4 linked regions of the Drosophila melanogaster genome follow. The protein of the gene in region 1 interacts with the protein of each later gene in a pairwise test. Each region holds a gene or a part of one and is shown on either strand. Other genes may lie near its edges. The genes, in order: foi, CG44837, CG14589 and Epac.

The links.
Region 2: the proteins of foi (region 1) and CG44837 interact in a two-hybrid assay, tested with the Drosophila melanogaster proteins (one large-scale study listed by BioGRID).
Region 3: the proteins of foi (region 1) and CG14589 interact in a two-hybrid assay, tested with the Drosophila melanogaster proteins (one large-scale study listed by BioGRID).
Region 4: the proteins of foi (region 1) and Epac interact in a two-hybrid assay, tested with the Drosophila melanogaster proteins (one large-scale study listed by BioGRID).

What each region holds. Positions count from the first base shown.
Region 1 is NT_037436.4:8,521,662-8,530,187, reverse strand, and holds the start of foi (fear-of-intimacy), read right to left. Parts: upstream 4,945-8,526; 5' UTR 4,484-4,944; intron 1,477-4,483; exon of another isoform or gene 1,408-1,476; intron 1-1,407. Other genes in the region: GstO1 (glutathione S transferase O1), read left to right, coding at 5,386-5,413, 5,471-6,054, 6,114-6,235, 6,291-6,321; GstO2 (glutathione S transferase O2), read left to right, coding at 6,757-6,787, 7,870-8,456, 8,516-8,526. UniProt on the Drosophila melanogaster protein: Required for the normal migration of longitudinal and peripheral glial cells. During larval development, required for the migration of the subretinal glia into the eye disk.
Region 2 is NT_037436.4:11,934,346-11,942,770, forward strand, and holds the start of CG44837 (uncharacterized protein), read right to left. Parts: upstream 4,528-8,425; 5' UTR 4,355-4,527; intron 4,163-4,354; 5' UTR 3,996-4,162; coding exon 2,628-3,995; intron 1,575-2,627; exon of another isoform or gene 1,387-1,574; coding exon of another isoform or gene 1,083-1,386; exon of another isoform or gene 1,061-1,082; coding exon of another isoform or gene 1,051-1,060; intron 1,005-1,050; coding exon of another isoform or gene 620-1,004; intron 194-619; coding exon of another isoform or gene 1-193. Other genes in the region: byn (brachyenteron), read left to right, coding at 1-193, 620-1,004, 1,083-1,386; Rpt4R (regulatory particle triple-A ATPase 4-related), read left to right, coding at 7,759-8,376.
Region 3 is NT_033778.4:6,134,168-6,141,066, forward strand, and holds CG14589 (uncharacterized protein), read left to right. Parts: upstream 1-3,135; 5' UTR 3,136-3,259; coding exon 3,260-3,646; intron 3,647-3,821; coding exon 3,822-4,093; coding exon of another isoform or gene 4,094-4,098; intron 4,099-4,150; coding exon 4,151-4,241; 3' UTR 4,242-4,244; downstream 4,245-6,899.
Region 4 is NT_033778.4:6,794,544-6,803,132, forward strand, and holds the start of Epac (exchange protein directly activated by cAMP), read right to left. Parts: upstream 4,399-8,589; 5' UTR 4,227-4,398; intron 2,870-4,226; 5' UTR 2,398-2,869; coding exon 2,363-2,397; intron 1-2,362.

The sequences.
Region 1 (8,526 bases):
TTTTTTTATATTTTTTTTTTTAGAAACTAACCACAGTTGAGTGTGTCGAACCGTTCGAAAATTAAATAGTCTACTGTATTTTCTTCAGTTTTTTATCACTTTGAAACCCCATTTAATGCACATTGCGTTAACATTCCTACTTCTTATCAGAGCATTTGCTTTTCAAATCACAATCTCATATTTAACTGGCTTCTTCTATAGACTCTTTTCAATGTCAGAATCAAAATGTTCGATTCAATAGCGCTACACTACACTGCACGAAAATCGAATGAGAAGTTACATAACGATAGCACATTGATATTTACTAACTGCGGCTAATCGGCCAACTTGTTTTTTGCTCCTAGTCGGGAGCCAAATTGTTGGATGCCATGCGGCTTCTTCGATGAGCAAAATGCGAGTGGCACGCGGCAAAAAGGAAATTCGCCAGGCGGTACTGGAATTTTTCCTAAAACCAGCCAAGACCACCCCCCCTCCCCCTTCACCCGTCTAACAAACCGAAAATTAGTTTGTTATTGTAGTGGGATTGCAACAACAACTTGTTGGGACTCGGACAATTTTACAATTGCGCATTAATGGCAGTTAGTTCAACGGTCCTGCATTGAAATCCAATTTATTGATAAAACTTTGGCGAAAATTTACGACACAGGCACAGATACAGATACACGTGGGTGGATGGGTGGCTCGCTGGTTATCGACTTAATAAAAGCGAAAGCCAAAACCACTATAGGTAATAATAGAAACGTCATTGTTGTTGCATTAAGTTATGATGGCGGTATGATGGCGTCAAGGTCACAGGAAGTGGGCGTGCACCCGCGGCATTGACAAGGACACACGTCGCCTTGGCAAGGGGTTAAGTGTTAAAGGTTGAGGCTGCTGCTGCTGCTGCTGCAGCTGAAACTCTGGCACTTGTTGAGGAAATTAACTGCCAAACTGCCAAAGGAAATTTGCGAAAAACTTAATTTCAGGGCAATAAAAATCAATCAACGAAGCTCCGATTTGCATACAAATTCTCCAAATCAGATCAAACACAATTCATCGGCAATATTCCCAATCAATCCAGCAAACTCAGTCAATTGGTCAAGTGCTGCCGCCATTGACCGACTGTTTCATTTGTATTTAGTGCTGTGTTATTTTTATTATTATTTTTTCTTTTTAAATCAAGCCTCATTTAAATTCTGTTCGCGTGATTTGAATGGAACCACTGCGAGAAAATGTTTTACGATCTCGTTTTTATGATGGCGTCAATGCTATAGGGCATTTTTATTCGGGGCCCATCAATTCATTTCACTTTCTTCCACACCACATATATGTTTATATTTTTTAAAATATCTTGAATGCTTTTCGTAACGAGTTGAAAGATGATTTAAGGGAAAGAAACACTAAACCCAACCGATCTGCGATCCTCACCACCAGTGAGCTTTGCAAACGCTTTGCAACTGAGCGGCGCGCGTCGCTTGCGGTTCGATTTATAAGCCAGTTTCATTGCTGGCTAATTGAGTGAGTGTGTACGTATGTATGTCTGTATATATGTATATTTGTGTATTATATATCGATGTGCATATGACTGGGGACCACATTAAAGCATACCCACATCGAAGGCGTGCTAACTTGGCGGGGCGTGGCTGATTCTGTACCATGTCCAATGTCGACGAGAACGAAAATTAGAACTCAATGATTCCATCTTAATTTTGAGCTCTTAGCCAAAATACTTAATGCGGTTCGAACTAAGATCTAATTAAAACGTCAATATTTTAGCAGATCAACGTATTATTATTTTTATTCCATTCAAACTAATTAATTTAAAAAAAAAATAATTTTTTGGCCAGCCTTCAATAATTTAATTATTTTACCATTGCAATCTGGTGGTCTGAGAATTTTAAAAAAATGTAATCTGAAAGTACTATTAGTACTTCTATTAAATTTACTTACTATTTTTTCAATATAAATAAATAAATAAACTTTAGGAAAAACTGCTTTGTTTTTATTGTTTAAAATTGCACTTTAAAATCGTACATATCGAGAGGCTACTGTACCAAAAACGTACGATTAGATTTGCTGAATCGACTTTAGTTCGCATAACATCTCCATATCGAAAATCGCACGCGTCTGTTTTTTCCGAATTCTCGTGGTAATTGTATAGTCGGCAAGTCACTGAACTCGCTGCTCTCTGAATTCCATGTGTACACCAAAATTTCGCATGATATCTCCAACGAATAGTGCTGTCCCATACGGATTAAATTTCCGCAGAGTAACCCTTTTTAGATGCGGAAAGCTTATGCAGCTGAGTCAGCATAAATGAATTTCATATACATAGAACCTCCACATAAATTCGTTTGGCATCGCAAAAGATCTCCATGCTGAAATTTCAGGATAAGGGTGGGTCTCATTTCGCAAATTGTGAAATTCCAAAACGTTCTGATTACTTTTCGATGAGTCAACATCATGAAATTTCACATTAAATCTCAATTTCATATACTCAAAATTCCTGGAACCCATTCCACATTTTATGCTTCGATCGCACAATCAAATTTCGCATGACATCCGCACAAAAAGCCTAAAATTGAACACGCGATCGCTCAAAGTTCAATAGATAAAACTTGATGAGTAAATTTCACATGATATGTACATACATGGTATCTCCACGTTTTTAGGCCCCTGACACTGCATAATATCTCGTTTTATACATGTCACAACCTTAAACTGCGAAATTAAATCTAGAAACGTACTCGTAGAACTCCTCGCAAGATTTATGAACAACTACTATGCACAATCTACAGTTTGTTTAGCCTGAAATTTCCACCGTACATCTACATCTCCAGATCGTCTCTCTACCTGCTGAGCAATTTATCTTTTATCTTGGCCGCAACACAAACACGAAATTCATACCTGAAACTTCAGCGAAATAACCTGCGAAAAGGTGTACCCAAGAATCCAAGCACATACATACACACACAAATTTGGGCATTATCTTTTTTTTTTTTTGTTTTTTGGTTTCTACCTTTTCATAAGCCAAAGCTTGATGTGAAATTTCAGCAGTGTGTTTAGGAAGATATGAAAAACCTCGCGTCATGTGATGGCCACATGGAACTGAAGTTCTGGATGGGTAGAAGCCAAGTACACACAACTAGACTAAGCTGAGGTCAATCACGTCGGATTCAGATTCGGACTCGGTCTCGGAATCCGAATGGACAGCTACGGATCCAATCCGATTGGATCAAATCCGTACGGAACGAGGCTCTGACCTTGCCATGCTCGCCGTCTGCTGAATTACATACTATGTACGCTGGCTGGCTGGCCGGTTTAGTATTCAGCTAGTACGACCCACCAAGTGACACATAACTGATGTTGAAGGGCTGGCCATATGCGATAAATAATTCATCTGGGGGCATCGAAATGATCGTGGATCGCCGAGAAACGTTTGTTTTCCGTATTGAGTTGTTGGTTGCTGAAATGGTTGGCTGCCTCAGTTGTTGGCGCCTGGTTGCAAGGCATTCATAGCTGATATTGCATTTTTTTTTATTTGCAAATATACATATCAATTTTTGCAAATTACGCTGGCTCATGAATAATTGATTGGCGGCGGGCGTTTGGCGGAGAAATGGAAAAGTTCGCGCCCGATAAGGATGCTTCCCTTTTGGCCACCACCGGCACCACTATCTATGATTCATGCACCACCTACACTTCTAAAAAAAAAAAGACAAAAACAACAGAACTATGTGGAAGGCAGCCAAAAGTGCGAAAGGAACACATGTTGATATATGGGTCAGTGGCGATAACAGTGACGGCTTCCAAAGGGGGTTACGCATCCGGAATACAACTTAAATATTTCATATCCCTCAATGCGCAATACAAATATAAAATCTAATGACGTTATGTGTAAGGTGATAAGAGTATTTATTTACGCAAAATGTAAGCTGTGTACGTCGAACACGTGGATTGTAATTGTAACTATGATCGTTTGGATAAGTCTATTGATTTAAATAGAGAGAATGCTAGAGATAAAGCATACGCGATGTGAAGACTCATCCACGTTGTCTTCCCCCTTGAAATCTTATCTAGCCCCGCCAGTGGATGATAAGCATTCTGGCCCGTTTGATAACACTAATTCCATTGATTTTGCGTAATTAGGCTCTGAAGATAGCGAGCATGGAAATGGTATCAGAATTGCGCTGAATTATGTATAGAACACATTGATGATGTCGATCGAAAATAGCATAAAAACGTGCTGAATATCAGTGTAGTTACGTGTGCATCTGCGTATGTGTGTGTACAACAAATACATATGGATGTAAGTGAGCGGGTGTCAAAATCACACGCACATGGAAATGTCCCGCTATAAATAAATACGAGTGGGTGGTGGTGGGTGGATTTTGGGCGGTGGGAGGTGGAATGGGGGCGCGTCGCATGCACTTTCCATTCTGAACGAACTTATGCCAAGATTAAACAAAGGCGAATAATTAATGCAAGCCCACTACTAACTCACCCGTAAATTTGCCGGACTGTTTAGCACATCGCACACTGTAACACACACTCACACAATTCCCACTAGAGTTATTGCGGGATCGAAGATAATGCTGGACGATTCTGGGAGCTATAGCTTTTGCCGATGCGGTGGGCGTGAATGAAAGAGGCCGTAGAGATTACGCCGAGTGTCAATTACGTTGCAATAATCTCGGTTTGGCACGGGAAATCGAATCGAAGCGAGTCCGCATGGAGCGGCGAGATTTGCACGGGATACGGAGTACGGGATGCGGCCACCAACACCAACACGGGCTCAGTTACGCAAGGGCGAGCTTACTGTAAACATTTTCCGGACACGCTAAACATATGCCGCAGCAGCCATCTCTCTTTCGCTCACACCGCCAAACACAAGAAATCCGCAACTAAAACAATTTTGTTATAACAATTATCGATAGGCGGTAGGGATGTGGAAAAACACCGAATCATCCGCGATAGGTATCGGTGTTCCGTTGCTATCAACGCTACACATCGATGGCGATCAATGTAACCTCTTGCAGCAAATATTAAAAACGATAAATATAAATTGATTTTAGATTAATTATGTATATACAATATGTATTTGGAGCAGTGATGCAAATAGTCTATTATGGATATATAACCATAAATTATTGAAATTAAAGTCCTAAATAATAGATGAATAGATGACTGAATTATATTTAAAAAAATTAAAGTTGTAAAAATTAATATTTAAGATTAAGATAGATTTTTTTAAACCGATTAAATAATAATTGATTAAAAATACATCAATCCTGTAAAAAGACAATACGTTATCGAGCCACCTTAACGTTTACTGTCAAATATCGATAATTGTCATAACCCGCAAAACAGGTTGTGTTCCTTTCCAGAAAAAATTGTATTGCCAATATGAGCAATACTCAGCACTTAACTATTGGTTAGTATAAGTTACTAAGTTCCAAATTCACATTTAAAAGGCGCATATATATTGCAGGCTCGCCAAAGCCCGTATTTCCGGATGATGGGATCTTAAAGCTGTATTCGATGCGCTTTTGCCCCTATGCACACCGTGTGCACCTGGTCCTGGATGCCAAAAAGATTCCCTACCACGCTATCTACATCAATCTTCGCGACAAACCCGAGTGGTTCTCCCTGGTGAGCAGCTCCACAAAGGTGCCGGCACTGGAGCTGGTCAAGGAACAGGGAAATCCTGTGCTGATCGAGTCGCTCATTATTTGTGACTACTTGGACGAAAAGTATCCGGAGGTGCCATTGTATCCCAAGGATCTGCTTAAAAAAGCCCAGGAGAAGATTTTAATCGAACGTTTCGGACAGTTCATCAATGCCTTCTACTACCTGTTGCTGCACGACAATCCCGAGCAGCTGGTTGACACCGATCACTATGCCGGATTGGTCGTTTATGAGGAGGAACTGAAGCGACGTTGTACCAAGTTCTTTGGTGGCGACAGCCCAGGCATGCTTGACTACATGATGTGGCCCTGGTGCGAGCGCTTTGACTCTCTGAAATACACTTTTGAACAAAAATTCGAATTGAGTCCGGAACGTTTTCCCACTTTGGTGGGTCCTATTGGTTTTCTAATTATGTCTTTTAAATTACCGAGATTGTTCTACTGCAGATTAAGTGGCGCGACTTGATGATCCAGGATCGTGCTGTCAAGTGTTTCTATCTGGATGGACAGACCCATGCCAAATACATGAACTCCCGGCGATCGGGCCAGGCCGATTATAATATGCTATAGTAAGATTTGAAGATTATACATATAATGTGTGACTGATCCATTTCTCGTTTCTAGCAATGAGGCCAAACGTGTCAAATTGGGGTAGTCTACGGGATGATGGCGTTTCCACTTCAGCATTGTACCTTTTGCACATATAACATGTAACACATGTACCTACTACGGCAGCATTATTGTGATTGAAAAATAAATCTTTGCATTTTCATTGTTTATACGGGTTGTAAGTACGTTTGTTTTAGAATTAGATTAATGAAGGTATGAATGATAAATGGATATGAAAATACTTATCTTAGAGTAGTCGTTTGTAGTCTTTAATATGTGGTCAAACAATTTTCTTAAATATGAGCTTAAGAATTTTAAATTCACCCGCTCAACAATCGAAATATATTCGATAAATTCACTCGTCCGGCGACTGCGACCACTTTATAAGGTACCGGAATCCCTCTATTTGTTGTCAGTCGATCGGAACTACTTTGCCACCAACATTTCACGTCTTGGGAATTATTTTAAAATTGTTAACAAAATGGCCCTGCCGCAAAAGCACTTCAAGAGGGGTGAGTTGGGGGCACTTCAAGGTCATCGGGATAGTGACGCTGCAAAAGTTGGCAATTGATTTCATAGTTTTATCTAGACCCCACTTTGAGAGGCGTAAATTACGCAGAGATAGAGCTTTAATTTTAGCCAAAGCATAATGGAAAACTTTCTGCTGACGTCACAAATCACCCTTCAACAGGTTCGCCCAAACCGGAGATCCCCGAGGATGGAGTCCTGCGTTACTATTCGATGAGATTCTGCCCGTACTCGCAGCGTGCCGGTTTGGTTTTGGCCGCCAAAAAGATTCCACATCACACGGTTTACATTGATCTTAGCGAGAAACCAGAGTGGTACATCGACTACAGTCCATTGGGCAAGGTGCCGGCTATCCAGTTGCCAAATCTGCCTGGACAACCGGCTTTGGTGGAGTCCCTGGTCATTGCCGAGTACTTGGATGAACAGTATCCGGGCGAGGGCTCCCTTTTCCCCAAGGATCCATTGCAAAAGGCGCTAGACAGGATTCTCATCGAACGCCTGTCGCCCGCTGTCAGCGCCATTTACCCCGTGCTGTTCACCAAGAATCCACCCGCTGATGCCATCAAGAACTTTGAGACCGCTCTGGATGTCTTCGAGCAGGAGATCACCAAGCGCGGAACACCATACTTTGGAGGCAACAAGATCGGCATTGCTGACTACATGATTTGGCCCTGGTTCGAGCGATTCCCGGCCCTCAAGTACACTCTGGATGAACCCTACGAGTTGGACAAGACACGCTATCAGAATTTGTTGAAGTGGAGGGATCTGGTGGCTCAGGATGAGGCTGTCAAGGCCACCGCTTTGGATGCCCGAATCCATGCGAAGTTCATGAAGACCCGCCATGAGAACAAACCGGACTACGATGTAGCCTTCCAGCCCTTGTAAAGGATGTATTAATGGATGACAGGAAGCAACATACTTAAACTAACATTGTGAAACCGCTTTTAAAAAAATATTAAACCCATATATAAAGTAGACCATCAAATGTTATTTCTACCTTTTCAACTGGGATTTGGGTCAGTGCTTTTATTCCTGCCAATTAATCAAGCTTACATTGATCTTACAGGTTCCACCAAGCCCGAGCTGCCAGAAGATGGAGTTCCTCGTTTCTTTTCCATGGCATTCTGCCCCTTCAGCCACCGAGTTCGTCTGATGCTGGCCGCCAAACATATTGAACATCATAAGATCTACGTCGATTTGATTGAGAAGCCTGAATGGTACAAGGATTTCAGTCCTCTGGGCAAAGTGCCAGCCCTGCAGCTTACTGGGGTGAAGGACCAACCGACCCTCGTGGAGTCGCTCATCATAGCAGAGTACTTGGACCAGCAATATCCCCAGACGCGACTCTTTCCCACGGATCCGCTTCAGAAGGCGCTGGACAAGATTCTAATCGAACGTTTTGCTCCAGTGGTCAGTGCCATTTATCCTGTGCTGACTTGTAATCCCAACGCTCCGAAAGATGCCATACCGAACTTCGAGAATGCCTTGGATGTTTTTGAAGTGGAGTTGGGCAAAAGAGGAACGCCCTACTTTGCCGGCCAGCACATTGGAATCGTGGACTACATGATTTGGCCTTGGTTCGAACGTTTTCCCAGCATGAAGATCAATACGGAGCAAAAGTATGAGCTGGATACAAAACGATTTGAGAAGCTGGTATGTTTAAGTAATCCAACATAAGATGATGCATGTATCTCATCAAAAATCCATTACAGCTCAAGTGGCG
Region 2 (8,425 bases), 3.4 Mb from region 1:
GGCATCGGATCTGCGCCGAGTACTGGTTGCTTCAGCAGTTCCTACGCCCAATCCGGCTTCATGTCGGTCGATGCCAGTCCCACGGCGTCCGTGTTCTCCTATCCCAGCAGCTGGCAGAGCAATGGCAATTACTGGAACGCCACCAGCGTGCCGGGACCCATGCCCATGAACGTGTGCAGTGGCCGCAACATCTGTAAGTACTTCATGGAGGGCAGGAGGAAATGCTTCTGCTTATATCTTTGCAAAAATACCCGAAAGGCTAACCAAAGATACAATACGTTTGCTAACAAGCTACGTGACCTTTGAACTTTCGAAACGGAAATTTAATTAAAAAGTACCTAGTGTTGCTCTTAAGTTTTCGCGTATCAAAAGTTTTGAGCTCCTTGCTTTTGAAATAATTTAAGAATCGTGACAGTTTTCAATGCACTTAGCAATTTACCATTAAAGTAAAATATATACTTAAATATTATTAAGTAAGCAGAGTAATTTTTTTTGTAAAAAGTTCAACTTTGGACAATGGTATCACCTTTTTGACAGTTTCTAGTTTGCTGCACACATTATAATGACTATTTACAATCATGATATGGAAGATAGGTGACTGATAAATTTAATTTTATAGCATCTCATAACTCTCCGTCGCCGACGAATGGATCCCCGAGCTATACGACCTCCTCGCCCAGCTACACCATTCATCACCTGACGCCACACAGTCATCAGTACAACATGGCCCAAACGGATATCTATGGAACCGGAGTGGGCGTTGGGGGCGGGGCAGGAACAACGGGATCCCCGCAAGCGGCATACGGTGCAGCTGCCCACCAGGTGTACCATCCCACGCCCACCTCACCCACTCACCAGCTGTACACGAATGCGGTTCTCAATGCGCCCTCGGCGCTAAGCTATTCCGCCAGTGGTTGGCACAATGGATCCGGGGCGGAGTACGGACTGTACCAGAACGCTGCCGCCGCGTATTACCAGCCGGAATACATTCCCCTGGAGATCGGGTAGGTTGAATCGGTGGGGAACTGTGCGCACTTACCGCTAACGTAGCTATCAATGATTTCCCACCAACCGCCTTCCAGCTATGCCACTCATCCGTTGGAGCCCGTTGATGTTTCAAAGACACTGGACGACCCCCAGGCTGCCATGTACAAGCCGAGCGATGAGCAGGGCTCGGTCATAACGCTGGAGTGCGCCAGTTCCTCCCTGAAGAGCTCTCACGACATCAAGATAGAGTCCTCATCCCTGGAGCACGCCGGGGAACGGGGCACTGTTGGCGGTGGAGCTGCCGTGGTCTCGGTGCCAACCGCCGTGGTGAATGGAGCTCCGGCCGTAGCTGCCGACACCTGGACCCCGCTCACTCCGCCACAGAGCACGCTGCAGTGATCGGATCATCCCACGGATAAACCCACAGCCTTTAGACGCATGACCCCCCTGGATGTTCGATCGAGTTAGAAATAAACGCCCTATGTTAGTAACGCTATTAGTAAAGCACACCCAATCGCAATCGCACCTATTGTAGAACTATCTGTACGCTGTAAACAATCTCCTATAAAGTCGTAATCAAACTATGCAAATGGCTAGAATTCATTTTTTCAGGTCCTAACTATCAGGCAATCATTTCATCATACAATGGTATCATCTACATCATCATCTACATACAATGGTATTTAAAAGTTCTTTAGAGTGCATTATTAACCGAGAAAATATTTCCTAGTTGAAGACTCCTGTCATGCTTTAAGTTTCCCAGGCCGTTTGTTCCTGAGTATTGCACAATAAAAGTCTCACACCCCTTAGGGCCACATAGAGTGTGCAATTGCATCCTTGTGGTAAAACAAAAGATAAAGTCTTGAGTTTTCGAGGGGTCAGCCAACAGACTCCAACTCTATTTGAAATGGCAGCTATTAAACCTAAAATCGTCTTAACAATTACAGACAATAACGATGTGAGGGTGCGAGAAACCCAACTGTGAGCTTAATCCCGGCAAGAACAGGCATCCAGCTCATTGTCGGATTCAAAGGGGTATTCAATTTAGTTTAAAAGTTGAACCCATCCCATGCGGGCCACTCGCAGCCAGACAATGGAGCACTTGGCAATGGCAGAGTCAGTGCCCCAGGGCGATCTCCAGGCGGCAATCTGCCAGGACCAATCCAGCCGTGAACCCGGAATGTCCACAAAAGGCCTCGCTGATAATGAGTTTGGGAAATGCCTGTGTATTGGAATCTCCGCCAGAGTGCATTAAAAGCTGGATAGAAAGTGGAGGCCCTCTGAATGTGCCGCCATTCACCTGAATTGCCGGACACCCGCACTGCAGATATAGTTGCTGCAATTAAAATTACACGGCGCCATCACTTGTAAAAGGGCTGTGCACGGCGGGAATTTGACGCGGTTTTGGATTAAATGGGCAAACAGGAAACAATTAGCATTCCACTTAATTGCAAAATATCTAAAATTTCAATAACTAAAGCCATTTGCCTTCCTATACTGATGGTATAACAATAGACCGACATTAATAGACAATATAAGCTTCGAAAGTTACAATTTGTTAATCATATGTTTCTTATTCAACCGAAATTGTTTTCAGTTTTTATTTGTATTAATCTCTTTTGAACGTAGTTTTCACTCACCTGATAGTCCATTGAGTTGCCATAGCCCATGTGGTTGCAGGAGCAGGAACAGTGCTTGATATGCTGCTCCAGCTCGTCATCGATGACGGTGGTGCTGGTTGTTAGGTGTCCAAGTGCCTCGTGATGGAAGTGGGCATGCTCGAGATCCCAGTGATCCCTCTGGCGAAAGCGAATGTCCTTTCCCTGCTGCTCCAACAGCTCTACAGGATTTGCAGCTTGATGTGGCTGCGGGGATAGATGCTGTTGCGCTTCCCCGGGCCAATCGAATGAGCAGGACTTGAACACACGTCTGCCACCCGTTCCGCCCACCGCTGTGGATTGTGTTTCCCTGGCGGGACTGTTCTGTGGACTGGGGCTAATGGCATTAACTTTGCTGTTATCGCTCTCTTGGGCTGTTAAGCTGCCGACTCGCAGGAGAGCGCCGCGCTCGAAGCTTTTGGCCGCCTGGTGGAAAGCTCCGTACGCAACAGTTTCGTCCTCCTCAACATCGCTGGCATTCTGGTAGCGACGCATTGGCGGGGCGCCACCAGTTGCTCCGGCCACGTTACCGTTACCAATGGCCGCCGCCGTTGGCGTCACAGTTACCGCCGAGCTGGCCGCACTGAGCATGAGGCGGAGTATTTCATTGGTGTCCTTCGACGGCAGCGGCACACTGCAGGAGCCCGTTTCCGCCTCGGAGATTTCCTGTGTTTCCGAGTTCAGCTCATCCGAACCGTTGGGCTCCTCGACTTCGATCTGTTGGTTTTGGCGTGCACGTTGGCCCACTATCGAGGCGGCCGTGGAATTGGCTCCGTACTTCCAGTACGTTTTTCCAGTGCCAGCGATCCTCTGCAGATGACTTCCAGCCGCCTGACGTTTTCGCTCCTGCAGCTGTTGGAGATTTTTAAAGACTTTTCGCACCGGTTGCGTGTGATGCAAGGTGGCACATCTTCTCATGGGCGGCGGCGTATATACCGGGGAAACACTGTAGCTGTGCGAGTGCCGACCGGGCGAAAGTGAGCCACTCGACTTCGCGCCCACTAAGCGGGCTTTCAGTTTACGGCCAAAGCCCAGGCCACTTCCGCCTGCCGTTGCGCTTCCGGTTCGCGAGGTGAGTGAGTGGGCGGACAAGGAGAGGGCGCGACTGAATCGCAGAGCCGCTGATCTCTGCTGCTTGACGGCCATCAGCTGGCACTCGTCGATCGTCGGCAGCTTTAGCAGGTGAGGATGCAGCTGGGCATAAGTTAGTGAAGGCTTCGCACTGGGCACATCCGGTGAGGGATTCGGCAGCGGATCGAAGAGGTTTCTCTGGCTGAGGGCCAGGAACTCGCGCTGCTCCTCCTCCTCCAGCGCCTTCAAAGCACGCAGGTCCCACTCGCCAGAAGACATGGTTCCCTTTAGTCACTCATGGATTGTTAATTCTTTTTCACGAATTTTAGTTGATATTTGAGTAATGACACGCAAATCATCTTTATTTATGTTTCAGTATTAGCACTTATTCTGGTCTATTTACTTTTAATTTGCATATTTATGAAAATAAACACATTTTTGGTGGCCTAAGTATTCAAGTATTCAAGGATATAACATTATAAAGGAGGTACAACTTATATGTACATATAATATATTGAAAGCAAGTAAAATAATGTAAGCTAAGTAATAAATATAATATACAAAAAATAACGTTTCTATTATGTAAGTGAAAGTAAATGATAAGATAGTAGATATAATAATCGGATTCCAAACGCTACCTATTTTTACTCTTTCACTAACAATGTTATGTTTGTTATGCTTTTCCAATATCACGGCGTAAACTAAAACAAATAAATTATAACACGTCAATCCCGCCAATATTCCGTCACATTTTCCGTTGGATAAAACCGCTAACGCTACCCGGTTCAATTCAATTACCGTTGCCACGCGGCGCTGCCAACACACTGGGCTCTTCAGTGCTGCGGTACCGTTACTTTATAACGGCACTGCTAACAGCAGCAGCAACAGTTTCCGCAAGGAGTACCCCCCAGTGGATGGATGCTGTGGATCGTAAGTGACCTGGCCCAACAAAAAAGTATGGCAGTGGGTCGCCATGTTAACAGTATGTAATGTAAAGTCCATGTTAATGCAAAGATATTTTATTGTAATACTTATTTGAAAAAAAGTAACTATAAAATATAAAACAAATATCCATTGGAATCATGTAACAATAAAAAGAATTTAACCTCCAAAGTAGCGTTTTTTTGTTTTAATGCTATGCCTTAACAGACCTTAAAACATTTTTACCAAACAGGGCTTTTCTTATTGAACTCAATAGCATACATTCTTCTTGGTAATCAAAGTTACGCTTGCTCCTGGCCACAAAGCCAAAGTCTATTGTTTTATGATGGTGTTATCCCAACTTGGGGCAAAGAGTTGGCCCAAAGGTGATACCGCAGGTGACGGGGCGGCAATGAAATATGCAAGTGCATTCATTTGGCATCCAAAGCAATTTCGCAGTCAGCAGGACGACGACACATAGCCATTTTTGTTAACCTCATCTCAAAATGTTCACCGACCCCCAAGCCAGCACTCAGAAAAATATAGTGTGATATCTAATATTATGTTTTTAAATTCAATATAAATTATTTAAAAAATCAATGTGCGAATAGCTAGAAAACATGATATATTTTAGTTGTACAGATGAAACGGCCCACGCATTAAAATTTTTTTTGTAGTGTGACCATTTCTTGTAACTTAACATTACAATGCACGGCCACATTTCTGCACACCTGTACCTGGGTACATATGTAAGTACTTGCTCATGGCACACACATACTCTGAAGTGCTCATCCTTCATCCTGATGTATGGCCATCAAGCATCGGATGGGCTGAGTGTCGGAACACGGAGGGGAAGTAAGTATGTGCACCGCTGAATCCCCCGAATCGTGTTAATGAAATTCAAGCTGGGTCAAAAATTTGCATTAGCACATCCGGCATCCATATGCAAATCATATTTCAGATACGAGGACTCACATGATTAACAAAAAGCGGATCGATGGGACGTTCGTAAAAACAAAAATATATATGTAACTTTGTGGATATATATCCATTGCTCCATTAAGTGACTTATTTTAATCTTAGTATGCAGGCAAAGGAATAATTAATTATTATATAATTATATTAATTGCCGTTCTCTTATAATAAATTAAATTTTTTCTATGGCACAACAATTATTTGTTAATAATTACAGGAAATATCTACTAAATAGACGTTTAAATTGGTTTTATTTAAACCTTTCACGTAAATGTGAAGGCGTTGTGGTAATTAAAAATATTTAAATATTAAGAAAAAAACAGAAAAATGTGGTTTCCTATTGTCTTGTAAAGCCAACAAATAATTATTTTGAAACATTGGCTTACTGCAAATTCCCGTGGGAATTTTGCTGTCTAAACAATTTAAAAAGGATTCTTCTTTATTTAAAGCTTAATAACTTGGAAAGAGAACCAAAAGTTGGCCCGTGAAGGGCTCAACAATGTCGGAGTCAAGCCATAATTTTTCGTGAACATGTTGGCCAGCCACGCCCATGTCCTCGACGGCAAATCCCTGCCACAGAGGATGTCAGAAGTCAAGATCGAAAACAAGTGAAAGTTGCAACAAGCCATTCTGTTTGAGGTCTGCGTTTAATTTTTTTTATGGGGACACTGTAGCCAGTGAGTCGAATTCGAACAGGACCTCTTTCCTTGACCAAATAACGAACTTTGGCTGGAAGGTCGGGAACATCTGCGCCACAAGTTGCGAGCCCAACCAAGCCACCGAACTTTATTGAATAGAAATTCGGTTTCGTTTCCAGAAACTTCATATTTCTGTACGTTATTGTTCCTTCCCCCGCATGAGATACTTTTGCTGTCTGGCGGCGATTTGGTTTCCAAATGTTAACCCTACCCTGTCTTCTCAACTTATCCAGAAAAGGGTGAAGCCAAGCACCACGAAGCCACAAACTTAAATAAGTAATTTTGGGATACAATTTTTTTTTTGTAATTTTCTAAACACAAAGTAATTATTTTTAAATACAAGAAATGGTTCAAAAGGAATGAAAAAGTGTTTCAGTTTCAAAGACCCACAGCCAGAGGCAAAATACTTGGCACCAATTGGCGCTGCAAGGCGTGTTCAAATTCATTAGACATTTGCAAACTGCATATTTGTCATGTGTCCCAAATGCGGGGCATTTCGACCCGTGGATGCAGTTGTCCCAGTGGATATCTGGATATTTTGGTCGTGGTAACCAAACCACTCGAACCAGCTGGACCCGCAACACGGAGTGCTACAAAATGGCCTGATTTATGGCCCCGGATGCCGTGCTGACATTTGGTTCCCGGCCAGCACCTTCCGACGCATTCGATGGCATTCACGTGCCAGCGGACTACTAAAGTCGAAATCACTGGCTCTGTACAATTGTCGATTTCTGTTTAAGTTTGTGGACACAAAATGCAGCTCTTAATATCCTTGTAATAGGTGACTTTAGGCCAAGACTATAAACAAGAATAATACCATCTTAAACTAAACTTGTAAAAGTCTTAAAATCCATAAATATAAATATAAAATGCCAAAATTAAAAAATATTTCAATCTTTTTTAACGCTCCTTACTTTATAATTTGTTTTTCTCATTTCAGAATTTTTTCTGCACAAAGTGGCGCCATCTTCTTTGAGCGAAAGCTTTCAAAGCTTTCAACCTTTGGATAAATGGCTTTGATTGTAAAACAATGAAATAGTTTTAAAAACAAATTTAAGTAATTCGTCATCTTACCTTATTTTTTGTAATATAGTTATACAAATATGTATTACAATATGTCTTAAAATTTAATATCGAAATCTTGGCGAATATTTACTGGCGTTTTATAGGTATCTACATTGTTGTAAGCATCAGTTGCTCGCAATAAATATATTTTACTTAATATATTATTTTAGTCATTAAATAATTTTTCTGTTGTTTTAAATTAATATTTCTCTCTCACGTTCCACTGTACTGTTAATAGAACTTTTAGAGCGATGTTCGTTGTCGTTTTCTTATGAACCGGTTCATCGAAGTGCTCCATCGTTCAAATTGACAGACGTCAAAATCTTCACGTGTGCACAATTTTAAAGTCACTCGGTGTAGTTAGGAAGAAATAAAATTCGAGAATGTCTGCTCCACTTGCAAATCCCCCAACAGACGACGAGCGTGTGAGGGCGCTGACCAATTACCGTACCAAGCTTCTGGAGCACCGCGAGATCGAATCCAAATTGAAAGCTTTGCGAGACAAGTACAAGGTCGTGAATGCCGAGTACGAAAAGTCCGAGGACGATCTGAAGGCTCTCCAGAGTGTGGGTCAGATGGTCGGGGAAATCCTGAAGCAGCTCACACCGGACAACTTCATCGTGAAGGCCTCGAACGGACCGCGCTACGTGGTCGGATGTCGCCGGCAGATTAACAAGGAGAAGCTAAAGCCCGGCACACGTGTCGCCCTGGATGTGACCACTCTCACCATCATGCGCTATTTGCCGCGGGAAGTGGATCCCCTGGTGTACAACATGACCCATGAAGATCCCGGAAACGTAAACTACGCTGAAATCGGTGGACTTGGTCAGCAAATCCGCGAGCTTCGCGAGGTCATTGAACTGCCGCTACTAAATCCAGATATTTTCCTACGCGTTGGCATAAGTCCGCCCAAGGGATGCCTGCTCTACGGACCGCCTGGCACCGGAAAAACTCTCCTGGCCCGCGCCATCGCCTCCCAGATGGACGCCAATTTCTTGAAGGTCAGTGTTTCACATCTGCAATAGATATTATAAATAAATATTTAAATTT
Region 3 (6,899 bases), on another chromosome or scaffold:
CTAGTTCATTCTTATTCGTTTTAGCCCTTGGAATAATAGAATTGAAACCGAAACAGTTGTTGCAGTGCACAGATAGATTACACATAATGTATCTGAGCATCACTCTCCAGCTATTTAGTCTACGTGTGTGTATCTATGTGCATTTAGCGAGCGAGATAGCTGGCTAGAAAACAGAAAAAAAAGGAGAAAAACTTGTCTACATGCCTGTCGCTCAAGCTGCAAAATTTATGCGAAGACACACAAATCCACTGAACGACCGACCGACAACGCTGCCGATGGTTGTTGCTGTTGCTGCTGCTGCTGCTGCTGCCGTCGGTGCCTGGTGTTTTTGTTTTTATACCCATAGACAGACTGCACCAATCTGCTTCACAACCCATGCCCCCGCTCACCAGCAGCACGAACGTTTTAAATGCGAAAAACGCCGACACAGACACAGAGAGAAAAATATCTTACATTCACGTAAGTAAGAAAAACTTTGCACACCAATACTTCAAATATACAAAAATATTATTTCTCATTTAGTTTCAGTTTCTTGGGTTTAGTTCATGATGTTGTATGATTTTGTTAGATTTTTTTGCTAATCTGGTTTGCCTTGTGTGACGGCTTGGTTTGCTTCGCTTCGGATCAGAGCTGTTCGGTTTGTCTTTTGGTGTGATTTTGACTTCGAATCGGGTGCCACAAGAAGCAGAAGCAGAAGCAGAGGGCGGGCGTTGAAAGGAGGCAAAGTCAGGTTTAATGTCGTTCAATGGCGCGGCGACGTTTTGCAGTTGAGGTAGTCGGAGTCGCGAGACAAAGACTGGGGGCAGTCGGCAATGGGAGGGCGTGGAACGGGCAGAAAAAGTGGGCTTAGGCCGTTCGTGGGCAAAGAGGAATAAAAGACTCGACGTTGGGCAAATAGGCAAAGATTGGCGGTTGTTTACCGATAAGCGCCCATGAATGGGTGACGGCAGCAGTCGGCAGACCAAAGGAGAGCAAGTGCCATAGTTATCCAGGCGGACTGTATGTACCGATTTTGCATTATACATAAGTATGTACATGGCCATGCCGCATGGTTGGTGAAAACGTCATATACAGACACAGTGGACCGAGTTGGGCAAGTGTAAGAAGAATTACATGGGTTTGAATATGTTGCCTTGTCTAGTTCTGAATTTTCTCAAAGAAATAACACTAATCTAATCTTGTATGTTATATACAAGATAATTTAGATTCTTTAAGAAATCTGTAAAAGGTAATTTGAGTTTTTTCTGACACTATAAATTTTATGGTGTGTTGTTAAGCAGGATCAGTGGCCGTATCCATCTACCCCTAACAGTAAAAAAAGGCAAATAGGATTTAAAGGCCGAGATCGCTTTGGACTAGGATTCGGTCATTATCCATATTCAGACCAGCCTAGAATTGGCCCTGATGGACTTGGAGTAAAGAAAATAAATCCTTATTCTTTGTCTGTGCAAACGTGCGCGCATAACATACATAAATACGAGAGCTAATTAAACGTCTGCATACCGACATTTGATAGATTGTCGACGAAAATAAAAGTTGAATAAAACATATATGTAATTTTTTGATATTTTCCTAGGTAAAACAAATTATTGGGGGCTTTAGAGGCACAATGATATTTTTTATTTCCCTGTGCAAATATTCCAATTTTTCTTGTTTTTATGTTGGCTCGCATGACATTATTTGATTAAAAGTGACAATTGTAAGCCTTGTTGGTATTGGAGTAATACCAACCGAGCTCCTAATGCTTTTGTACACTATGTATGTAGATGTTGGCATCCTGGGTGTCAACAATTCTGATCATAATGCTCACTGGCAGCTAGTCCCTCAGATTGCATACTAAGCAGAAAACCAGCGTGCGTACATAATTGGCGTGCCCTTGTCGCGCCAGTTATCGATAACTATTTCCTGCACAGTTAAACTGGAACGCAGTACGGCCAAAACAAAAAACTCATCAGTATTCAGGAGGCTGGGGGAACTGAGCTCTTGTTGTTAGCGCAAGTGCCAACTCATTGGCTTAGCTGTAAGCGTTGGGTGCTGTAATTGCAGCACGCGCTGCTGCTTTTCCCGGGGGCTAGGAACTGATGCTCCAGTAAGCACCTGACAACGTTGGCTGGTAAAAAGCTTCTGGCTACAGAAATAGCGATGCACTTGCCACAACGCAGTCTGTGTCGTCCGTATTTGGGGTCGCCCCAAGCTCCCACCCACCCAGTCCTACCCCTTAGGCCTTCCAACGAACACTAAGGCACATTTGTTATAATTATTTTTAAAGTGCACATATTTAATCAAGTGTGGATTGGGCTGCTATGCAGTAGCACTATGTATGCATGTCAAACAACTAATTAGAGCCCATTTCTTTCCTTTAAGGAATTCTTAATTCAACAGAAACAATGGTTTCGAGTTTAAGGCAAATCAAATTTTAAATAATATAAACGATACTTTAAGAATGAATATTTAAATATTTTTTGAAATTCCAATAGAAATTGGCAAATAATAAATTCAAATTAAATCGAAGTATTCAACTTTCTGAGCGTAACAATTTTTTGCAGATTTTGGGAGTGGTAATCAACTCGGCTGGTAATCTGCTTTGATCAAGAATGTATGTACAAAGGATAAAGTTAAGGATCGCTACCTTCTGTATATATACTAAGCGACAGTAAACCAAGTGTGCAGTTACTCAAGGAAAATTTTGTAGGAGATTCTGTAAATAAAATCCCTGTGAAAAACCCACCAAAGTTCAATGCACGAATCTTGACGCAGTTGCTGCGGTTCATTATTATATTGGTGTTTTGGCTAATTAAGTCATAAAATGGGAAACCCCAGACACGCACACAAACAAACACAAAATCAACGAAAAATTAATTTAAAAAAAGTATTAGATATTAGAAACACCTCTACTAACACTAGTCATATTGTAAACAGTCCAAATAGTTAGCCGCTACTAAAATCGAATAAAATCAAATTAAATTTTCAAAGTATACATACCACGTTCAAAAAGTATCCTAAGTGAATTAAATTTTATTAAATGAATACGCTCTTTGAACTATTCAATTCCGAACTCAGCAAAGTTACGTTGTTCATGAGAACATTAATTACTGTCGGTTATTAACTTTTAAACGTTTAGTAGTAGGCTTCGAGAGCCCTTTCATGGGTAGAGTTTAGTTTGTTTATCCTTAAATGTATTTCCACCACCGTAATCTCAAGCAAACACAACAAAAACACGAGAATTTCAAGTACGGAAAGCAACACATTAGAAGGACCAATGTGGAACGTATCCTCGATCCTGGAAGGGCTAGAGCATGAGCAAGGAGTAAACGCGGACCTCCGCGGCAAGAACGTGTTCAACTTGTGCGTGACCTTCTTGTGGATATTTCTGTGCATCTACGTCCTGTCCAAGCTAACCCAACTCGTGGAGCTCTTTCTGTGCCAGCGGCTACTTGGCCAGAAGCAATGGTACGACGTCCGCACGATCAAAAACGAGTGGGAGCAGACCCTCCAGCTTTATGAGGACGATAAAAGCCAGCTGGACGCACAGGTGCGCGAGTTGCGAGAAAAGAACCTGAGTATGGAGCGCTTGATGGTGGACCTGCGAGACTACAACATCCACTTGATCAGCGAAAACTATATGCTGTCCGTGATGCACGAACAGGTTAACAAAACAAACACAAAACAACCAACATATTTGAGAATCTATTGATCTTAAAATCGCGCGCAATATTATTTTCCATTCAAAGACACTGTTACACTGCTAGCCATGTTATGTAAAGATCTAATTGACCTCGAGACATGTAAAGTGTATTAACAATTCATTGTTCTTTGCTCAGAAACCAAGGCCGGCCGAGCCGAACATCTACATCACCAACAGCCACTTCCATCTCACTCGCCAGATGTTTCTGAACGATAGTCAAATCAATCTGAACGTCCATGACCATGGCGAGAAAGGAGCTTCCGGGGAGGGCAAAAATGTCTGGCTGCAGTATCTAAGGATGCGCAAGTGCTATATGAGCCCGATTGCCGATCCGAATTCGATAGATCCCAGCAGCACCACCAAGCAGATTCTCCCAATTGTTATGAGCACCGAGCAGTTGGCCGAATTGCAAGGTGAGTAAAGTAACAATTTGTGAGATGTTAATAATCGTTGTCTTTTTCTTAGGCATGATCTAGTTAGTTTTAAGTTATATGCAAACATAAATCTCGATTGTTGTATTGATCGCAAAGAAAAAAGCTCAAACAAATATATTTAAATTAATTGCTCTACTTTTCCATTGTTTTTAAACGGAAATAGCGCAAACCTCGGTCAAAACATTTGTCACTATCCTTGCAGTTAAGATAATTATGTTATTCTCACATGTTTGTTTTTCGATTTGAAACGTAGAATCTGTAGAATGATTACTGTTTGTAGCCTTTAAGCTGGAAATAAAAATTAGCTTAGTAATGTTATTTATTTCAATTCGATTCATATTCCAAATTCAATTTTAGCTCAGTGCTTTGGACCACAGATAATCGGTTTTATTTGCCTAACTACCTACCACCTACCGCCTCCCAATTTCCTAAACGCACCGCCCTCTCCTCCCTTCGATGGCCTTCGCGACAACATCTGGCGGAAACGAAACGAAAACAAAATGCAAAATATAGCTGTCTACCAGTCGGTCGTCTGTTTGTTCCAACTGCGACTGCTAAGACGATGACTTATCAAGGCAGAATTTAGCGATTGGTTCTTTAGCTTTCTTCTTCGTTCCCCCACTGTGCCAGAACTCTCCATTTTATTTTCTTTGCCATGGGGTCACTGGCAGTTATCGTTGCAATTTTGTAATCAGTTGCCGGCTCAAGGTTAAATGCTCGCCGGCACTATGGGCGAAGTCTGTGGGTGCAGGTCCTAGTCGGCCTCATACCCTTGCATTTTTTCATTCCCCGTGTGTCATTTCCGGTTTCGGCATTCATTTGGTCATATTTGGACGCAGATTCGCCATATTTGATTTACATTTGATCGAGAACCGGCGCTCTCGATGTTGTTTTGCGACTACTTACTGGGTCATTTGCCTGTCTGGCTCATGTAGTCTGTACATACATATGTACATACAAATTTGCAGTGGAACTGGAATCGGATTTATTTCGTTGTTCATTTGCGATTGTCACTTGGTTGAGTTAGATTTATTGCCATTTAAATGCAAGTTTATTGTATTTTCTGGATCAGTATTGTGCGTTGAATTGGGTCTTTCCTCCCTCAGTCTGCACTCGCATTTTCCGTTTTTACTGTCTTATTTGACAATGATGACGCTGATGAGGCCTAAATTGATTAGCGGCGAGTGATGTACATATAAAGAACATAACCGATGAAGTCATTGAACTAATTCAAATATTTGCCTTCGCCGATACACATTATATATCTGGTTTGACTTAAAAAAAAAAAAAATCCCAAAAAAAAAACACTTTTCGACCCGAGACAGGCTTAATAAAAAAAAAAAATAGAACGAAAGCTTTTCTCATATCTTGCGAAATATCAAAGTTAAAAATTCTTTGTATGAGTAGCATCTTTTTTTAGTATTTTAAATGTATACATGACTTATTTTCGGTCGCTTTAACGATTATGGACTTAGTTATATGAAGCTTTGAAACAGTAATAGTTTATTACGTTCTTCAATCTAGAGAATGTTGCAACAATTCATTTACAATTGGTATTGTAAAAAATTATATTTTATAATACTTATTGATAAAAAAAAATTACAAAAGAGCCGACTGGGATAAAAGTTTATTTCAGTGCCCGGTGTACTAAATGATTACTAAAAAGTTTCCATTAAAAACGATGATATTTTATACTCCATTATTCGTTGCTATAAAAATAACACAATATATTTAAGATAACACAATAATGGTAAGCAATGTAAATTTTCTGTTTGGGACGACTTTTGTTGTTCATCCTTAACCCATTTGTTGGTCGGGGTCACGTAACAACCAGCGTCATTGGAGCACCCGCATCTTGTAATTCTGGCCGACTCTCCGTATACAATTTTATTGTTATGCACTAGCCATCAAGTCGAGTCAAATTGTCTGGCTGCACCCATAAATACTTGGTCCAACATCTATGACGCATTGCCAGGTGGATAATTCTATGGCCAGGGCATAGTGTCGCACAATAGGGGAGTCCTAAGATGGCTAGTTGCTTATTTTAGTTTGGTATTTATAGATCTCGCAATGTGCGTCGCACGCTAAAGAAGACTATCGGATGGCATTTGCAGAATCAATTTGTTTACCACTTGGTCGATGAATTAGAATCTTCCAAATACAAATTATTTCGCACATTACGGGGTGGAGCGGAGAGTGTGAGAAATAATCTAATCGTTAATTGGCACACTAACCCCAAACAGAAATTGTGCTGCCATTGGCCCCATTTCACACTCACTGATAAAAATAGTTTACGTTTTATCAAGGTTATTTGCCAAAAAAAAAAATAACAAAAACAACAACAAACAAAAGCGAAAACGAAAGTGGAAAGCAAAAAGACCAGTGCGAGGGTGTGCGAATAGATAGACCGCGCCGAATACAATTGGAAACGACCTTGAGATAATGCCCTCATTTGTGCATTTCAATTTTTTATTTACTGTCAAACAGTAGGTAAAATTGGGGAACGGATATTTTGCGCATGCTAAGCTTCGTTCATCTAAAAAATAGGTTAGCTATTATACAAAAAAAAATGAATAAACAAAGTATTAAATTACTTTTAAAATCTTGCCCAAGGCTCCACGTTACTTAAAAGAAGTACGACGAAATTGATAAAAAAAAACAAATAGATACACGTATAAAAAAACGTATAATATTTAAGCATTTTTCAAAGTTCGTCGATTGCTCTCATCAAATTCTTCCACCTCACCTGTTAGCAAAAAAAAAAAAAAACAAATAACAAG
Region 4 (8,589 bases), on another chromosome or scaffold:
TTTTAGGCACACGCCCGAAAGTTTAGTTTCGGAATTTTGTAATTGGCGTGCCGGCGATTCGTCAGCCTTAAAGCTGCGGGGAAGGGTGGCCTCCTCGCACACATTAAAGCTGCTTTGGCACACGTGGCGTATGATAAATGTGCGGCGGCACTTGTAAGTAAGACGATTGTTCCTCCGCCGGGAAGGGGAAGCCATCAATATCAATTGCTGTCTGCTGGCTTTGCCACTTCACGCCTTACGTTCTGCGATTACCTTGCCTCCTTCCAAGGATTCTCCGATGGCATGCACCGAGTGCTCCCTCGTCCTTTATCTCCAGGTGCGCTTAAGCCCAGATCGCTCTTGATAAGCCGAATTACCAGTCAGCATGACGTGCCCTTCTTGGCTGTGCCATTAATTCTGTCCAAATTAAATCGTTTATTTTGTCTTCGCTCCCTACTTTAGTACGAGGCCATTTGTATTAGGTCCATAAGAAGGAGCAGCCGAAGAGCTGTGAAAGAAATCTGGATCTGCATACTGCACCCTGGCATCCTGGCACCCTTGCGCTACTAGGCCCTTTCTCTTTGGGCGGGGCAAACAAAAGGCAGCGGTCTGCAAATGTTTGCCCAGGCACAAGGCAAACAGTTTGCTTTAAGCCCTTGCCACTTGACCTTTCTTTTTTCCCGCTGCCGCGCACAGTCACATGAGTGCCCGCTGACCCCTGACCCCTCATGCTTTAGTGCGAGTGCGGCAGAAGCGTTTAAGCGTTGACAGAGCGTGAAATTTGAAGAGATTGTCCTCTGATTGATGGTGTGTGTGCGCGGCGGTTAGGGGCGGGCCGGTATGAGGCGGAGGCACGCCCCATTCGGATAACACCAATGAAATATAAGGCCACTCTGCAATAATAGAGTGTGCCGCACAACTGAGCAGTCGGTGGGGACAGGCGGGGCTAATAATGGTAATGGTAATGGTGGCACTCGTCCAGCGATGCCCCAGCTGAAATCCAACAAATTGCATCAAGTGGTTGCTGGGAAGAATGTGTGCTCGATTCCCGGCCATTTACGGTTGGGCAAATCGATTTAGACACTTTGAAAAACAATTTTGATCTCTGGTCAATGTTTGATTAGCTCGAATCAAGTTCAACTTAAGCTTAAGTACTGCGCACACACTAAAATAAATTTGGTTATTCCGTAATTGTATATAAATATTTTACACGCTAAATGCTGACTATTCTGTTGATTGATGCAATAGTAAATGCTTTAGAATGCTGACTATTCTGTTGACTGTTGCAATAGTAAATGCTTTAGAAATAGCATGTCATCAGGAGAGATACTCCATCTCACATATGAGCTTTTTCATTAATTTAGATAAGGGTAATGTTATTATGTTGGCTGTGAAAAGATAAATACTGTGGTGTCCAGATAAAATGAAACCGCTCTCTTAAATGGAAAGTATAAAGTCTGACATCAACTAAAAAAAAAAAACAATAGTCCCGTGCCTCTGTTTTATTCCACTAAAATAATGTTTGCACAAGACTAAACTCCATCCAATTGCAAAGCACATATTTACGTAAAAAATGTATGTGCATTAAAACCTCTGAAATGCGGAGCTTTCAGCAGAAATATATATATTTTCAATTAAATTATAGTATTTTTATACTTTTACAGCGGTTTAATTATTATTTTTGCACGACAGAAAACACTTTTCAGGCATAGCTCATGAAATGAATGGTAAATTACTTTAATGCTTTATCATAATATAAATTGTATTTTAAGAGTAGTATCATTAAATGGGTTGGTTTATTTATAGCGAACTACAATTACATTTATTTTGCATTTCAATTCACAAGAAAGATATGAATGTCATGATTAAAGTCCTGTTTTTATTTTCCTTTGTTCGGTGTCCAAATCAGGAATGATGAAATAATTGCTGTGCAGAAGGCGGCTCATTGAGTTACGGAGAATTGATATCGAGATTTAATAAAGCGGATAATTCGTGGCAGGCCGTGTCCACAAAGTGGATGGATTGGCCATTTGCCAGCCATCAAGGATGGAGGAGGATGGGGCACCCCGATGTTGGTTCTTGACAAATGAATGTCGAGCATGACGGCAACATTTTAAAATGTTTCGCTTCTCGTTCTCGTTTTGTTTGTACTCCACGTCGAGCTTTTCATTCAACTTACACGTACGTCGATGTGTGAGTACGTGTCTGCTCCGGGAAAACAGAGGAAAGAAACTTGTGCACTCAGCTGGGAAATGCCTTAAATTTAAGAGAAAGCATTCCGTTTCAGCTAAGGAAACTTTTGGAGCTAAAAACTTAGAATTTAAAGAAAAGTTCCCCAAAATCGCTGCTCATTAATTGTGCAGCTCATTAAAAAATCACTTACCGTTTGTCCATTGCAGTTATCCATTCCATCGCCATGTTGAATTTTTATTTAAATCTCCCTCGCTCGATTAGTTTCGCCGTTTGACACAAGTTATGATACAAGTTATGAACAGCACATTCCACAAACACCAAACCAAATAGTTGCCCCAACTTTGAGCAGAGCACATAAATCGAGGCGGAGCGGCTCCAAAGTGGTGCAAATTAATTGCCCGTTGCGGCCCAGGAAAGCGAAATCAAAATACCGAGTAATGGCGGCGCTCGCACCCAGTTTGCAGTCACCTCAATCCGCGATGTGGCCGTCAATCTGCGATTCCCTTTGAATACGACATGCCAGGTGGCTCGGCCCAGCGAGGCACTCGAAATCCGCTTTTGGGAGCGTTGGAGCGAGCTCCTTTCGAGTTGGAGCCAGGGGTAAGTGGACGTAGCTCGTTGATTAGGCGAAAGTTTGGAAATGGATTTCAGTTTGAGCTCCCGTTTGGCTGGCGACGAGGATTTCGATACCGAGCAGCTGCAAAGTTAAATTGGGCGAATGTGAGTCTAAATTCACTATACAGCAGTCGTAAGTGTAAGCTAGCCTTGGGATGTCGGACTCTAATATAATTTATATAAAATGCCAGCAGCAGATGTAAAAGTTTCCCTCTTTCCGATTTTTTCAGCCACATAACTAATGTGAATTGCTATTGTTGGACTTGCCAAAAAGGGTTTTCCCAACTGCTGATAGCTGCCCAGAAGGCCCCACTGCGTCAGTGTGTGTGTGCTTGTGTGTGCTTGTGGGTATCTGTGTCGCCAACAAAAGCAAATGTTATGAATAAGCTTTGATGCCTGCTCGGCCGGCGAGGGGGTGTTGTGGTGCAGGAGAGCGGTGAGGGCGGAGCACCAACAAACTGTTGGCGCACAAATCTAACAATAGATTTCCAGATAACAATAGATTACTCCACACACACGGCGTATACTTAATGCGCTGTCAATGGGCATTCTAATTTCCCAGTATGCCCAAATCCAGATCGTATGGCATGCGAAGGCACGATCTAACCGCGAATTCGTTACCGAACTCCATGTTTACCCATGCGCTGCACTATCTGTATCTGTACCGCAAACGAATGCGTATTTTGTTCTGCGTCAATGGGAAAAAACATAATTTATACCACCCCATCAGAAGTGCAGTGGCTTTCGTCAGCGAAATGGAACTGCAGGCGGAACAAGTGTTCGAGTGACGGCTCAAAAGGAAAGACATCGCGAAGGACCATCAGCTCGCATATGAATAATTAAGTATTCGCCATCGTGGCCAGCCCGCGAAGGCGCCCGAATGTATGCCACGTTTTCTGACGTGTCGTTCGCTCGCTGGCTGGCTCCACGTACATAAATGGCGACAAAAGTCCCGGGGGCGATAAGACTGATATTGGCGATATTCCGAGTGGACGACTCGATAAGCGGCCACTTTCGAACGAGTTGTCCATCCTGCCAGCAAATGCAATTAGTGTCCGGAGTGGCGGTTAGGGAATTGAATTGAACAAGCTTTGAAATCGCCCTGGAAACAGATGTTCCATGTAATTTCCACTTTAGGGTTTCAAACTTTGTTTTAATTAAGCAACCGAGTGAAAGCAAAACTTTGAACCACAATAGATGTGATTTAACTGCCCACTGCAGCCGTTGCCAAACGGAAAACTTAGCCATTTAGCTTGGTCATGTGGCGAAGAAACATCATGAATCGAATACTCACGCATCCTCTGAACGGAGAAAAGGATCAGAAGATGCAAGAGTAACAGAGATCCCGCAGCAGAATTCGATATTTTAAAGTCCTTCTTGTTGGCAAACACTTTTTGGCACGGAAAATGAACTTTTAGTTTCGAACCCACGCGACATACCGAAATCCAGCGAATACCTGAAATCGAACCGACTTCAAACGAATATTTAAATGAACCACTTGCTAACGGCTTTCAAGCACTTGGTATATACAGTTCTTGGGCAAACATTTCAGTTCTCGACCTCCGCTGAAGCGCTATCGCGTCCGATTCATTTGGTAGTCGCGTCGCAACTGCTCGGCCGCCTTCCATTTTCCGACTTCCGAGCGGCGCTCTTCACCACGCTCCTGTCCTGCGCCTCGCAGGTGGGTTTCCCGGCGGAGATTGGGGGTCGTGGTGGGTTGTTGGAAGTTACTCATTGCCGATGACTGCAGTGTTGACGGCTGCGGTGCGGTACTTTTGGCCTTGTTCCGCCTTCCCGCCGTCCCTTTCCGTCACTCACATATTTTGGCGCGTTTTTTAGCAACAAGTTTGACAAATCTTCGGCACAGTGGGCTTACATCCAAATCGGTGTGGTCAAAATCCAAATAAAATTTGGCACACGAAAAAACGTAATTTCAAAGTAGTTCTAATTAAATACAGTTTCTTTGCTTATAGTGTTTGAAATTATACTACTTTTGTTATAATATTTATTATAATTTGAATCCCATTATTTTGTGATATGAATGGATTTCTACTATTCTTTTACGATTTTAAACTTAATATTAATTTAATTTAAATATTATTCTTATTCATTTACTGCCTACACTTATATACGATAATCAGCAAAGAGATACAATTTGTATAAAGATGGCTATAATGATATAGCATTTAACATATAAATTTATGTTCTTGTTTGATTTATTTGTTTTACTTACTTGCTTATTGCTTATTAGTATAGATTGTCTTAAGTCCTCACATGATTAGTGAGAGGTTTGGTTTTATCTTTTATATGTTAATTGCGCTGTTATGTTACTGTTACTGCATTGTATGGATTCATCGCTTCTAAATAAATAAATATAAAAAAAAAAAAAATATAGATTGTGTATTGGGCTTTAAAGATGAAAAGTTAATCGAATCTGATATGTTGTATTACGAATAATATTGCTTGCCTAGTCTACTTGAAATAACAATTTGTTTTGACTCTATTCACTCGAATGTTTAGCAACATTTGCTGCTCGCTCTCCTATTCTACGTGCTCCACAACAAACTGTTGAGCGTTATTTTGGTGAGTCGTCGCAGTTGACCAGCTCTTCAACAGGCACTTGTCCGTCCGCTCGGCCGTCGGGCGAACAGCGGACAACCCCGCACCGCGCCCCGGGCGGAACTGCCTCACACCCTCGCCTGAAAGTGCACATAAAATGGAATCGCAATGCGAAACAATCAACATGTCAATTAAATAATGCACACCAGCAGCGGACACGAAACAACGGACAGAATTTACGGAGCGAGTGCGTGAACACCCGGACTTTTGGTCACTTGGACACTTGGACATTCACTGACGGCTTGTCACATTCAGCTAATGAATCAACGGCGATTCAGTCGTGTTCGCTCCTGAAAAGGTGCGAAAATGCAAAGCTTTCCTTTTGTTTTCCACCTTTCCCAGAGCCGCTGTTGTTGTGGTCGCCACCACAATATTTACGGCACTCTCGAGTGCCTTTATTTCCGCATGAATCATTCCCAGTTTCGGTTCCAGCTCCACAGGCTGCCCCAGCGCATATAAATTCTTGGCTTTTTCCCCCAGCTGTTAATGCACAGAAAGAAAAATAGTTAAGGTGGATCGTAGTCTGGTATTCCTAGATAGGTATTTCATTATACACAAACGGGTGTAGCATAGGATAAGTGCAAAGATGAATTACTTCTACTAATATAATTAGACATAATTAACAATAACGGTATAGCACTAAATAGAACTGACGTAATAAAAGTGGAAGACTACTTTCCCTGTGTTGCAGGGTTTTTTTTTTTTTTTGGTTTTTCATGGGGTCTGCCTGTCGCATTTTTTATGAGCCTCCCCCATGTTGACAGGACCACCATAGACATTTTTTCGGGCTTGCCAATGCGGAATGAAATTCCAAGAATTTAACGGCCGCTTTGCCTGCTGAATATGTCATCACATGGCGTTGAATCCTGCTCCACCAGACACAACACAACGACCCGGCGGTAATTATGATAAATGCGATCTTAATAAACTCGGCTGGTGGGCACGGCTGGCTTTGAAGGCCTTCATGGCCAAGTGCGGGCTCATCATGGCCGGTCCTAATGCATTTTCTTTTCATCATCAACGCATGTGGCACCTGGTCTAATGGCGCTTCCTGCCACCCTGCCTGTGGCCCATTAGCAGAAAATGCTGTTGTACATTGATCGACTCGTCGTCAGCTAGTCGTTGTTGTCGAAGTCCTTGTCCAGGACTTTGGCTCACCATCCTCAGCCAGTCGCTTCAAAAGTCAGTCACTGGTGCCGTCGGAACGTGTTTACGACCTGATTGCACTTACCCACCCACCTGCTGATGTCATTATTATCGCATGTGTGGCACACTGGCTCTTTAGTTGCATTAATGGTTATTCAATCAGCGTTTAACGCAAATTGCCTATTAAAGCTGCCCTGTGTTCCTGGGCTCCCTTCATGCAAATGTTTGCGTATTATGGCCATGTAATTTGATTAGCTGATAAATGAGGTAACGCCAGCGCACGTGCAATCAGGAACGCCAGCGCCACTGCCTTCATGTTTTGACTGGCTAATAAGGCACTCGCATATTCCGCAGGTTCCTGATAGATTCACCCCACATTCCCTAACCACCATGGCGGTGCACCAGTCGACCAACGTGTAGCACACATTTGGGCGCAACTCAAGCTGTTCAGTGCGAATATTGATGTTTGCCTGTCGGGGATTTTCATGTAAACGCATTGATTAATGTTCTTGAGAATCAGATGATTGGACATCCACTGCACTTATTTGATATATATATATACATATTTATATATATATATATATATTGTGTTCTTAGCTAATTAATTCGGTGCTGATAGGCAGGGTATCGATCTGTACTTTTATATTGTTAAGCCCTTAAAGACGCTCAAGCAATAACCAATCACTGATTCCAGCTTGTCAGCAGAATTTAGCTGAATAACTTAGTTTCCACAGAAAACCCCATACAAATACTGAATTAGTGGCGAGGAGATTTCCTGTCAATACCCTCCGCCATCCGGCAAATACGCGCAAATCAAAAGTTAATAGACGCGATGGAGTCTCTGTCATTTGCATTCAACCAAAAACTTGATTATCCGCGCGATTTACGGAGCGCAATTTTGGGCGGAAGGGCGGACTGGGGTATGGAGCGGGCAGACTGTGTGCTTAATGAGCTCAGTGAAATGTGTGCTTAAAATTAACTTTCAGCCAACAAACCCGTCCCTGCCAATTGTCCCCGTCGCCATCGTTCTCCTAGTCAGTCGCTTTGGCAGCTGTTGCTCAGCCAGAAGTGGTTCATGGCTCATAATTACGCATTCAATTCGACAGGCAGCTAGCTCCAAAGGATCCAGCTGGAGCTGCCCAAATCGGAGAAGGGTGGCCGGTCGCCCGAAACTGCTTTAATAATTAAGTCTCTTGAACATCAAGACATCGTGTCGGACAACAAAAGTGCCGGGGCAAACACAAGGGGAAGCAGGAGGTCCTTGGAGTGGAGCAAGCACTTCGCCGTGTGTCCGTCCACTTGGCCATGTCATCTGCCAACCAACATCCTGGGACTGCGACTGCAGCCCGCTTGGTGCGAGTAAAAACTAATTTCTCGCCTTGCTGAGCATAATTTTATGCAATTGTTTTCTGATTAAATTCCACACTGAAAGTGCCCCGGTCTGCACCCGCATGTTGCATGATGCGTGCCACTTGGCCGACTGGCATTTTCATGTGGGACAGCTTTTCGGCCGAGTTTCCGGGTGGCGGAAGCACTGGAGTTCGATTTGGACATAACTTTGCTAGCGCCTCCATCTTGCTGCACTTAAGGTTTTTATTATTTGCTGTCAGACGGCACCACGTGGCGGATACTTGATGTGCAAGTGGAACGTTAATCGCCCCATAATTGGATTAATCAACGGCCGGCAGCGGAACGCCATTAATAGGCCAAAGCCCCAGCAAACCTCACACCCGTGTGCTGGAGCCACCTTGGAGTGGCAGGTTCAATGGCGTTCGGCTTTGAGCCCTAATGGGTTCTTCGACTGGGGAAAGCGTCCCGTATCGGGTGCATTGAACGGCGCACCATCTGCCACTTCCATCGGCATTGGCCAGCACATAGCACAGAAAAAACGGAATTGGAAAACCGAAACCAATTTACATTTTGTTTACCTTTTGGCCAGCACACCTCGACGTCCATCGTATTTGCCTTCGAAAGAGATGCGCCAGTAACTGGGCAGTTCCACCTAGTATATAGGATCTATAGATCTGTTTTTTAAGC